Linked DNA regions of Daphnia pulex. The protein of the gene in region 2 interacts with the protein of the main gene of each other region in a pairwise test. Links are inferred from orthologs where the notes say so. Each region holds a gene or a part of one and is shown on either strand. Other genes may lie near its edges.

Region 1 (4,204 bases), on a different chromosome or scaffold from region 2:
CGAATTTGAAATTTGTTTGGCTAGTAGACTAGTTGATATTAGCAATTAGCTATACGATATTTTAATTGGTTAGAAATGGTACATAATTTATATACGCACTTTAAATAATATAAAATCATTTTTGTATTCAAACATTTTTTAGTATTACATTATTGTAAGTTTGTAACTCAATTAAACTGCCAATATTTTGCCTTTCAATTTTCCTGTGTTTCGGAAATGGTAGTTCACAAATATTAAACGATTTTAGGTATGATATTTTCGAAACACTACTTTATGCATTATACACCGGTTTCTATACTCACAAATTGAACAAACACACCGACTGGTAAATTCTGTATTGATTTAGTCAACTGCATGCTGAAATAGTATGCGCATTTCAATTTTGTCAATTAACGATCCATGTTACTGGTTTACTCTCTTCACTCGAAGCTATGTCGAAGTGAAAAGTTTTGTAGTTGTCAATGCTGTAGTATATACGTTGAGTAAAAAAAGGCCTAAATAAATTTGCGACTTCTAATGACTATCTGTTGCAATTTGTCGTGATCTATCATTACTTGTCCTGCTATGAACTTAGGTAATAAAATAATTATTTCATGAATACGGTGGGTCTAAACTTCGGTGGGCAGGAACCAAATGCATGATTTTTATTTTTTTTATGAGATTACACTCATCAAGAGATTTCATGTCTCAATTGTCATTGTCTTAATGTCAAGATAAAATCAACGAACACTGATGGTCAGTTGCTCTCTAATCCTTCGCAAGGACCGCCCTTTTTTTCAAAATTGTCAGCCTACTTAGGATTGAGCTTGTCAAATAGTAGTGGCCGGTCAGGGTTTTACGAGAAAAGCGCACACGTTGGAAAGTGATTTGTGTGCTCAGTTTACTCCGTTTATCTAGTGACACAGCAAAATTTAATACGAGTTACTATTGTGCCTTCAGTAAACGTTTATTTAAAATTTTCCAAAGAACTATTAGGTCGTTCCGTCAGTTTTAGAGTTGGTTGTTAGCAGCTGCACCCAGATGCCCTACAATTACGAGTACACGAAAGGCCCATGAAAACAGCGTATAATATTCTATGTATTTAAGTCAACTGTACTTTTCTATCCACGGTAGGAGCGTCCGTTAATGATTCGAAATTGATTACCGCCTGGCAACAAGAGTGACGATACGTTATTGTGAAAGCGAGAAAAGTGGTTTTCTCAACAAACCAATTTTCATACGAAAAAAGTAAAGCTGATAAATTTTCCAACTTTCGAGTCATCTAGCGATAAATAAATAAACGAATTCCGAGGTTTTCTCTCGACCACACAAATATACTGTGCTGCTGGCCTCGCCCACTCCGCCCTGTCCCTACGGGCTTCTCACCAATAATATATACAACCGGGCCTTTACTTTTCCTAACCTACATGTTTGTGTATACACTGTGAAGCTGGAATCAACAGGCAGCAGCAGCAGCAGTTTGAGCCTCGTGAGATTTTCTAGTGTGAACTATTCCGCGTTTGCGCCGTTTTTTCACGAACTGTATCATTTTTTTGAAAACTTGTTTTTCGGCGGTTGTGACCTTAAAACTCTTGCGTCCTTATCAGCGATTCGAGTTCGACTTGTTAAAAACAAATTCTACGTTGTTGTGGTGTGCGGGGACTGTGCGCAGTTGAATCAAAACGACCTGAGCGATCGTGATGTTTGGTGACTAAAAGGGTGTGTCGAATTGTGTCACATTAACCATTGTTATTAAGTCTGCGGTGCTTTTTTTTTAGTGTCAGATTTGTTTCCGTGCATTTCGACATGAGGCGATGACGTCAAAGCCGTGCTCACCTTCCACATAGAACCAGAGGGAAAAGGGAGAGCCGAGTGTTTTTTGGGGAAGTTGGAAAACAAAACTGCCCTCAAGCAAAAGAGAAATTATCATTTTCTCTTTCGCGTTATAGTGACATGGCCATCAATTGACGTGCGAGTTTGCTCAACACAAAAAAAAACTTTTAAAATCGGCGTTTCGCTTTGGTGCCACTGTTTTGGACCAACGGCGAACGTGACCCTGCAAATAAGTAGTGAGAATCTCATGTCGCATGACGGTGAAATGTTTGTTCAACGAAACTTTCGTCATTCAATTCTGGTAGCCGTTCTTGCCTTCGCCGGCTTAGGTACGTATATGTTATTACGAGATTTGGTTGTACATATTATTCGTTGGATGTTGTTTCAACATCAGGGCGGTTGGCTGCCTGTTGGGATTTGATATCAATGTGTCGACGGGATGTGGGACTACCACACCACTAAACTTGCACCGATAAAACCTGAGGCGTCTTCTAGCACTGATAAGACGACTGTGTGCAACTGATCTAGCAACAATATACATATGCGCAGATTGTTTGTCTGTTGTCTAAATTATTTAATATATCTCGGATGGAAATTAGAACTCTTGTTTTAACTGTTTTAATCTTTTCGATCGGTTTATTCTCCAATGATGAACTTGTTACCAACTGATTTCGATAACAATTGATTTTTTCCATCATTTTTAGTTGTGTCAGAGTTTCCGGCTCCTCGACTGCTCCCGCCTGGTGATGAACAGATCTATCAAAGTGGCGGCACTTTTCGACTGACGTGCGAAGCTCCCAGGCCTGTAGAATGGAAATTACCAGTCTTATCGGTGATTATTTGAATCTTGTTAGACCCTACTGTAGATATGTAGTGTTATAACTGAAATTGATATGTGTTTTTTAGCCTCATTTGGAAACGAGTTCCCATGACGGAACTAATGTCACCGAAGAAATTATCTCCCCAGCAACGGATGGTTATGAATATCGCTCTTCGTTAGAAATCAAAAGCGCATCAATCTTGAATACGGGATATTACATCTGTCATTACAAAGGAAATGCCAACATAGATGATCCGCTACTGGCGGTAAAAACTTACGTTTACGTTGAAGGTAGGGTATTCGTTATCTATGTTGTTGCTTGTATGTATAGCATGGCTGCATGGCCAAGTAAAATAGTAATAATAACTAAATAACAATGAAATGAATTGTAAAAGATGATTTAGGTCTTGAGGTTAATCTTGCTCTTACATGTTGATTATGAGTTTATTAACAACTTTTGTTCTTGGACAGATGAAACATTTTTGATTGTTAACGTTGGAGATGAGGGAATTGTCACCGTTGTAGCCCACCAGTCCAGCCGGGAAGTTATTCCATGCAAACCTACCAGTCCCAAGGTGGAACTAACACTTTTTGATCCCAATGGATTGGAGGTAACAATTCAGTTTAGTAATATCTATCGAATATGCTGTAGAAAAAGAAGGGGGTTATTTTCATCCGCGCTTTAATAATGATTGGCTGAAAGTCGGGTTAGATGCTTTGGTCCATTTAGTAGTGGTCGTAGTGATGGCTTGTATCATTCATCGCATAGTCTTGGGGCTGTTTGCTTGTCTTGTTATACATGTTTATACGTAGATTGTTCTGTTGTAAGTCTTGACTATGTCACCGTTCATCGTTTCCCAACAGATTAACCCACAGACAGATCCTGATTTATGGTCCTACAATCCGCACGAAGGATTCATCGTCAGTGAGGTGGCGGTGGATATGTCCGGCATGTATCAATGCACAGCTGTGTACAGGCGAAACGGAGCCAGTTTTCCCTCGCATGAAACGATTACTTACGTTGTATCGGTTCAACGTATGTTGCTCAATTCATTATTTATATTTTTCATTTATATCTATCTATCTCTCTATGTGTGTAATCACACCTTGGTGATTGGCTTATTTCACGCTTGTTGCTTCTCGGCTTTTTGAAGGGGCTTTCATAATTTAATAGTTTGGAACGGATGCATGGTGATAAATAGATTGCAAGATTTAAGCAGCAGACTAACGTTCACCGATAAGGCTTGATCGTTCTAAACATTTTTTAAAATATTTTAACTGTTCATGGGTAGTACTAATTAGAGATATTTATGTTACACTGCTATATGAGTTGAGAATTTGATTATGTATTCGTCAATACGAACCCGGAAGAGGAATTCTATATTACATGTGTGTGTGGGATGTGTGGGGTGATGTGTTACAGGTCGAGCTGGAAGACAGCCAATGGTCCTACGACCCACACGAGGGCTTTACCATCAATAACCCTTCGTTGGTGCACGATCACGGCTACTACGAATGCCTGGCTAGGACCAACAACAATAAGAACCAAACAGTCTCCTACTTCCTAATAGT
Region 2 (4,027 bases):
TATCGTGCATTCTCCTTTCTTATCTTTCTCCTCCTTTTTTCTTCGATTACCTACAGGGTATAAGATGCTGTCACGTGACCTAGTGCTCCTGGCAAACCGATGATGATGACCAGTTGTTATAACTATTACGAAAGAAAAAATGTTATTTCTCTCTCTTTAAAACAATCTTTCCCTTCAAATTGCATCTATACAGACGAAATTATGTTTCTCTCTCTCGTTTTCTATTTTTCTCCCTTCTAAATTTCTTAATGCCGAGTGTGGTGTCGATTCATTTCACATCCAGAAACGAATCGAAAATGTTTTTGTTTCATTTTGTGTTGTTGATCGAGCGATACCGAATTGTTTTCAATCGGACCGCGGGACTCGGGTGGTCTGGAGAAAGAAGAAGAAAAAGAAGTTCACTACCGATTCACTACACTATACCAACCCCTTGTTCCATATACATAGAATGTTGTACTATAGATTGAAAAAAACAAAAATTGATTTATGGATTTATCACTGAAATACAAGAAAAGGAATTGTTGTTTTTTCTTCTTCGTGTTGGACAAAATTTGACTTGATCATTTCCACAAAAAAAAAGATGTTTGAGTCTAAAAAAAGAAGTCGTGACTTGGTTTCCAGCTGATCGTTCGTCCATCAGGTGATTCATGGTTCTGAATTTCTAAACCCGGAACTGGAACAGAATGAAATCAGATGTGAATCAAAAAGAAGATGGCGGTCATGCAGGAAGATAAATCTTGTTTCATTCACGAAAACACGGCTTTTTATAGATAGCCGCTGGAATGATATGGACTCGATAGAGAAAAAAAAACACGTGAGTGAAAGAATACGAGAGATTGTTGTTGTTGTTGCTGCACCTGTTTGAGTGTGGAGAAAAGGGTTCGTGGATGACCGATGAGAATGAGAGACAGGTGAGAGAAAACGAAACAACCAACGGCTGACACAAAGAAAACGATCACGACTCACAACATTGGACGAGCGATTCATTTATTCAGTTGAATTTAGCACGAGTTGGTACCCACACGCTCCAATCAGAACGGCGATCGAGCTCACCATTTTCACGCTCCAGTTACACCTAGCTCACCGATTTCTTCCACACGTATAATCACGAGCTTTTTTTGGGGGTGTTATCTTTTACACCATTGTTTAATCATTCTTTACGACCGTGCGATATTTACGACCCAGGTTTATTTCGCCATTGTTTTTATCAATTTTTCCATCATTTGTTCATGTTGTCTCACAGAAAACTCTCTCGAGTTTCTATTTTCCTCCGCTAGGTGGCTGCACGATAGCAGACGAAACATCTGTCATGCCCTTTTTTGATAATTTCGTCGTTCCCCCCTTTGGGTAGATCGTAGAGTAGCGTATGAGATATTTCCTGTGTGCTGTGCCGCGAGCCAGTCAGCGATGAACTCAAGTCGTGCTCAGTCGTCGAATTAAAAACTCGTGTTGAATTTCCCCCACGCCGTTTGTTGGCTCAGGGGCCTACACGTTTCTCTCTCTGTGTGTGTGTTGTTTTGCATTCCCCAATCGACACACATTTGCACAACCGATGGATATCTAAAACAACAAGAATCGAAATCATCGTTTTGTGTGTTGGCAGACTGGAGGGGAGAGATATTTGTGTGCTCCACCATTAGCAAGAAGAAGAAGGGGAGAATTGTTGGTGTGTGTGTGTACGATTGAGACCAACAGAGGAAAAAGAGTTGGTTACAGAGAGCTAAGAGAAAGCCAAACACGGCCGTGTGTGGACTATGTCATGTGCATCCAGCAGTCCGGTTGGTTTCGTCGCGTCGCATTTCGCTGCTGTTGCACAAAATTCATCTCCTCCTCATCCAGTTGTTGTTGCTAGTCCGATGAAATCGGCAGATGATGGAACAACTCCGTCACCTGCTCCTCGCTCATCTTCTTCCTACATGCTGGTAATTTCATTATTACCATCAAATTTTATTCTTTTTCTAGACAAAGTTCGCCGTTTTGGCACTGGAATCTTAGTCGGGGCTCATATAGTTATTAGGCCCACACACCCACAGACTTATTTTCGTCTGCAGACTCCCCCCCTTCCTACACAGTTTTTCGACCCTCCGGAATTGTGGAGAGACACACACACGTGAAACCCAGTTGTAGTGGCGTCAAATGTGAAACCGGATGGGTTTTTTCTTCTCTGCTAATCGTGATTGAGTCACACACACACACTCGTCGGGAGATGAAATTCCATCTCTAATGAAGTATAAGGGGGGGAATTTTCGACGAAAGAGAAGGTTTCTTTCCATCCCGTCATTTCCGCAGCCTCAGGCCAAACTGTTTCCACTCTTCTTCTTCTTGTTCATTATTTCTTCTTCAGTTCCCCCGTTTCTTACAACTTTCTCGAAACCACGTCGACAAAACAACACGCGAGCACTCCCGCGTGTGTGTTATTGTGCGTGGAGGTCGCCCGTCAAAAAATACCTTCCATCCCCCCCCCCCCTTTTTAGAAAGGAGCAGCTCCAGCAGCAGCCGGATGCAATTGGCTGCTCCATTGTTGTGTCGCCCGTTGTCTCGACCGCTGGTACACATTTCGCACGCTCTTTGTCTTTTTTTTATTTTCCAACAAAATGACATGTCGAAATACTTTTACTTAAAAGTGCCAATTGAACTAATCCGGCGGAGCTTTTCTTCCCCTCCGGAAATTTCAGTTATTTTGTACTAAATCATATCCTCTTCCGGTTGAGAGATACCTGAGTTGGTGGTAACCTCATCCGCTTTTTCGCCCTACTGAGAATTCCGTTTACAAGTTTCCCCTTTTGGGTTCGAGCCAGCGGGTCCCCTTTTCTTATTTTATTTTAAAAAAGAAGAGGAATCTCTTTATTGATATCTTGTGGCCTTGCCTTTTGCGTTTTTTTAGTTGTTGGTGCTCGTACACACTCTTGAAACGAGCCTCTCTCTCTAGCTGGGAAATTTATATATCTATGCCCCGCCGGCGGCTAAACGATCATACTGAATAAACATGTTGATATGTTTTTCTTCTTTTTTTTCTTTCCCCATCTTTTACCGGGGGCCCGCCCTTGTCCATTTTTGGGCATACTCTCCATCTCTTGTGTGTACTATATCTTTTTCTATTCAACTTTGTGTTGTTATGTGATATGACCCTCCACTTTCATCTCTTCACACAATTCGATTCGAATCTCGTCGATGGATTTTCTTCTTCTTTTTGTATTTTTAGAATTGAAACGCGCGTTTCTATTTAGAAATCTTGAGCGCAGTTAAATTCCTTTCGGAGATAAAATTTTTTAACAGACTACAATAAAAAGTAGGAGAAAATGGAATGTTATTTTCTAAATTCTCTGGTGGTTGGGTTGGCATTCCTCCTCCGTTTTTCTTTTTATTAAATTTCCGATAAAAATGGCCGACTTTTGTTTTCATCAGCGGATCGATCCAGCCAACACCCTTTTTTTTACTACCCCGGGGTTAATTGATTTGGGGTAATGATGATACGAAACTCGGCCATCCCATCAGACAACGCCCAAAAAATCGATGTCACTGTTGTACCGAATGAAATGTCATTAACATCATCGTGATTTCCGCCGGATGTTGAGAATTGCGTGTGGGGGGAAAAGAGAGAGAGACTCTGATGAGTCATACCGTCATGGCCTTGACCTGGAAAACCGTTTAATTCCCAACTAAATTCTGATTTTATTTCTTTTTTTCTCAATTGCAGATGTTGAACAGCTTCGCTTCGGATCTGGATTCCATCCTGAGTGATTTGAGTACCAGCCCAACGTTACGTGGAAGTCAAGAACTGGTTGGCGGATCGCCGGATTCGTCAACCACGGCCGAATTAACAGACCGACCGACAGTCGAGGGCAGCAGCAGCAACAGCAGTCACACGACTTCCTGCCCCGATTTGCCCGGCATCTCACCACCCTGCGGCGAGGATGTGGTCGACTCGTCTGATATTCCACTACTCGAAAGGCTCATCCGAAGTCATCCCATCTGGTATTTGCCCAACATCCAGCGAGTAGCGGCTGCCCAGCTCCTTCAAAATCAG

The links. The genes of interacting proteins can lie anywhere in the genome.
Region 1: the proteins of protein sprint-like (region 2) and vascular endothelial growth factor receptor 1-like interact in a two-hybrid assay, tested with the Drosophila melanogaster proteins (2 studies listed by BioGRID). The link is inferred for Daphnia pulex from reciprocal best matches to the Drosophila melanogaster genes spri and Pvr.

Annotation. Positions count from the first base shown.
Region 1 is NC_060028.1:2,875,315-2,879,518, reverse strand, and holds the start of vascular endothelial growth factor receptor 1-like, read left to right. Parts: upstream 1-1,404; 5' UTR 1,405-2,059; coding exon 2,060-2,141; intron 2,142-2,516; coding exon 2,517-2,644; intron 2,645-2,718; coding exon 2,719-2,923; intron 2,924-3,100; exon of another isoform or gene 3,101-3,103; coding exon 3,104-3,243; intron 3,244-3,496; coding exon 3,497-3,668; intron 3,669-4,055; coding exon of another isoform or gene 4,056-4,204.
Region 2 is NC_060023.1:10,103,533-10,107,559, reverse strand, and holds the start of protein sprint-like, read left to right. Parts: upstream 1-1,225; 5' UTR 1,226-1,754; coding exon 1,755-1,922; intron 1,923-3,697; coding exon 3,698-4,027. UniProt on the Drosophila melanogaster protein: Potential Ras effector protein. May function as a guanine nucleotide exchange (GEF), by exchanging bound GDP for free GTP.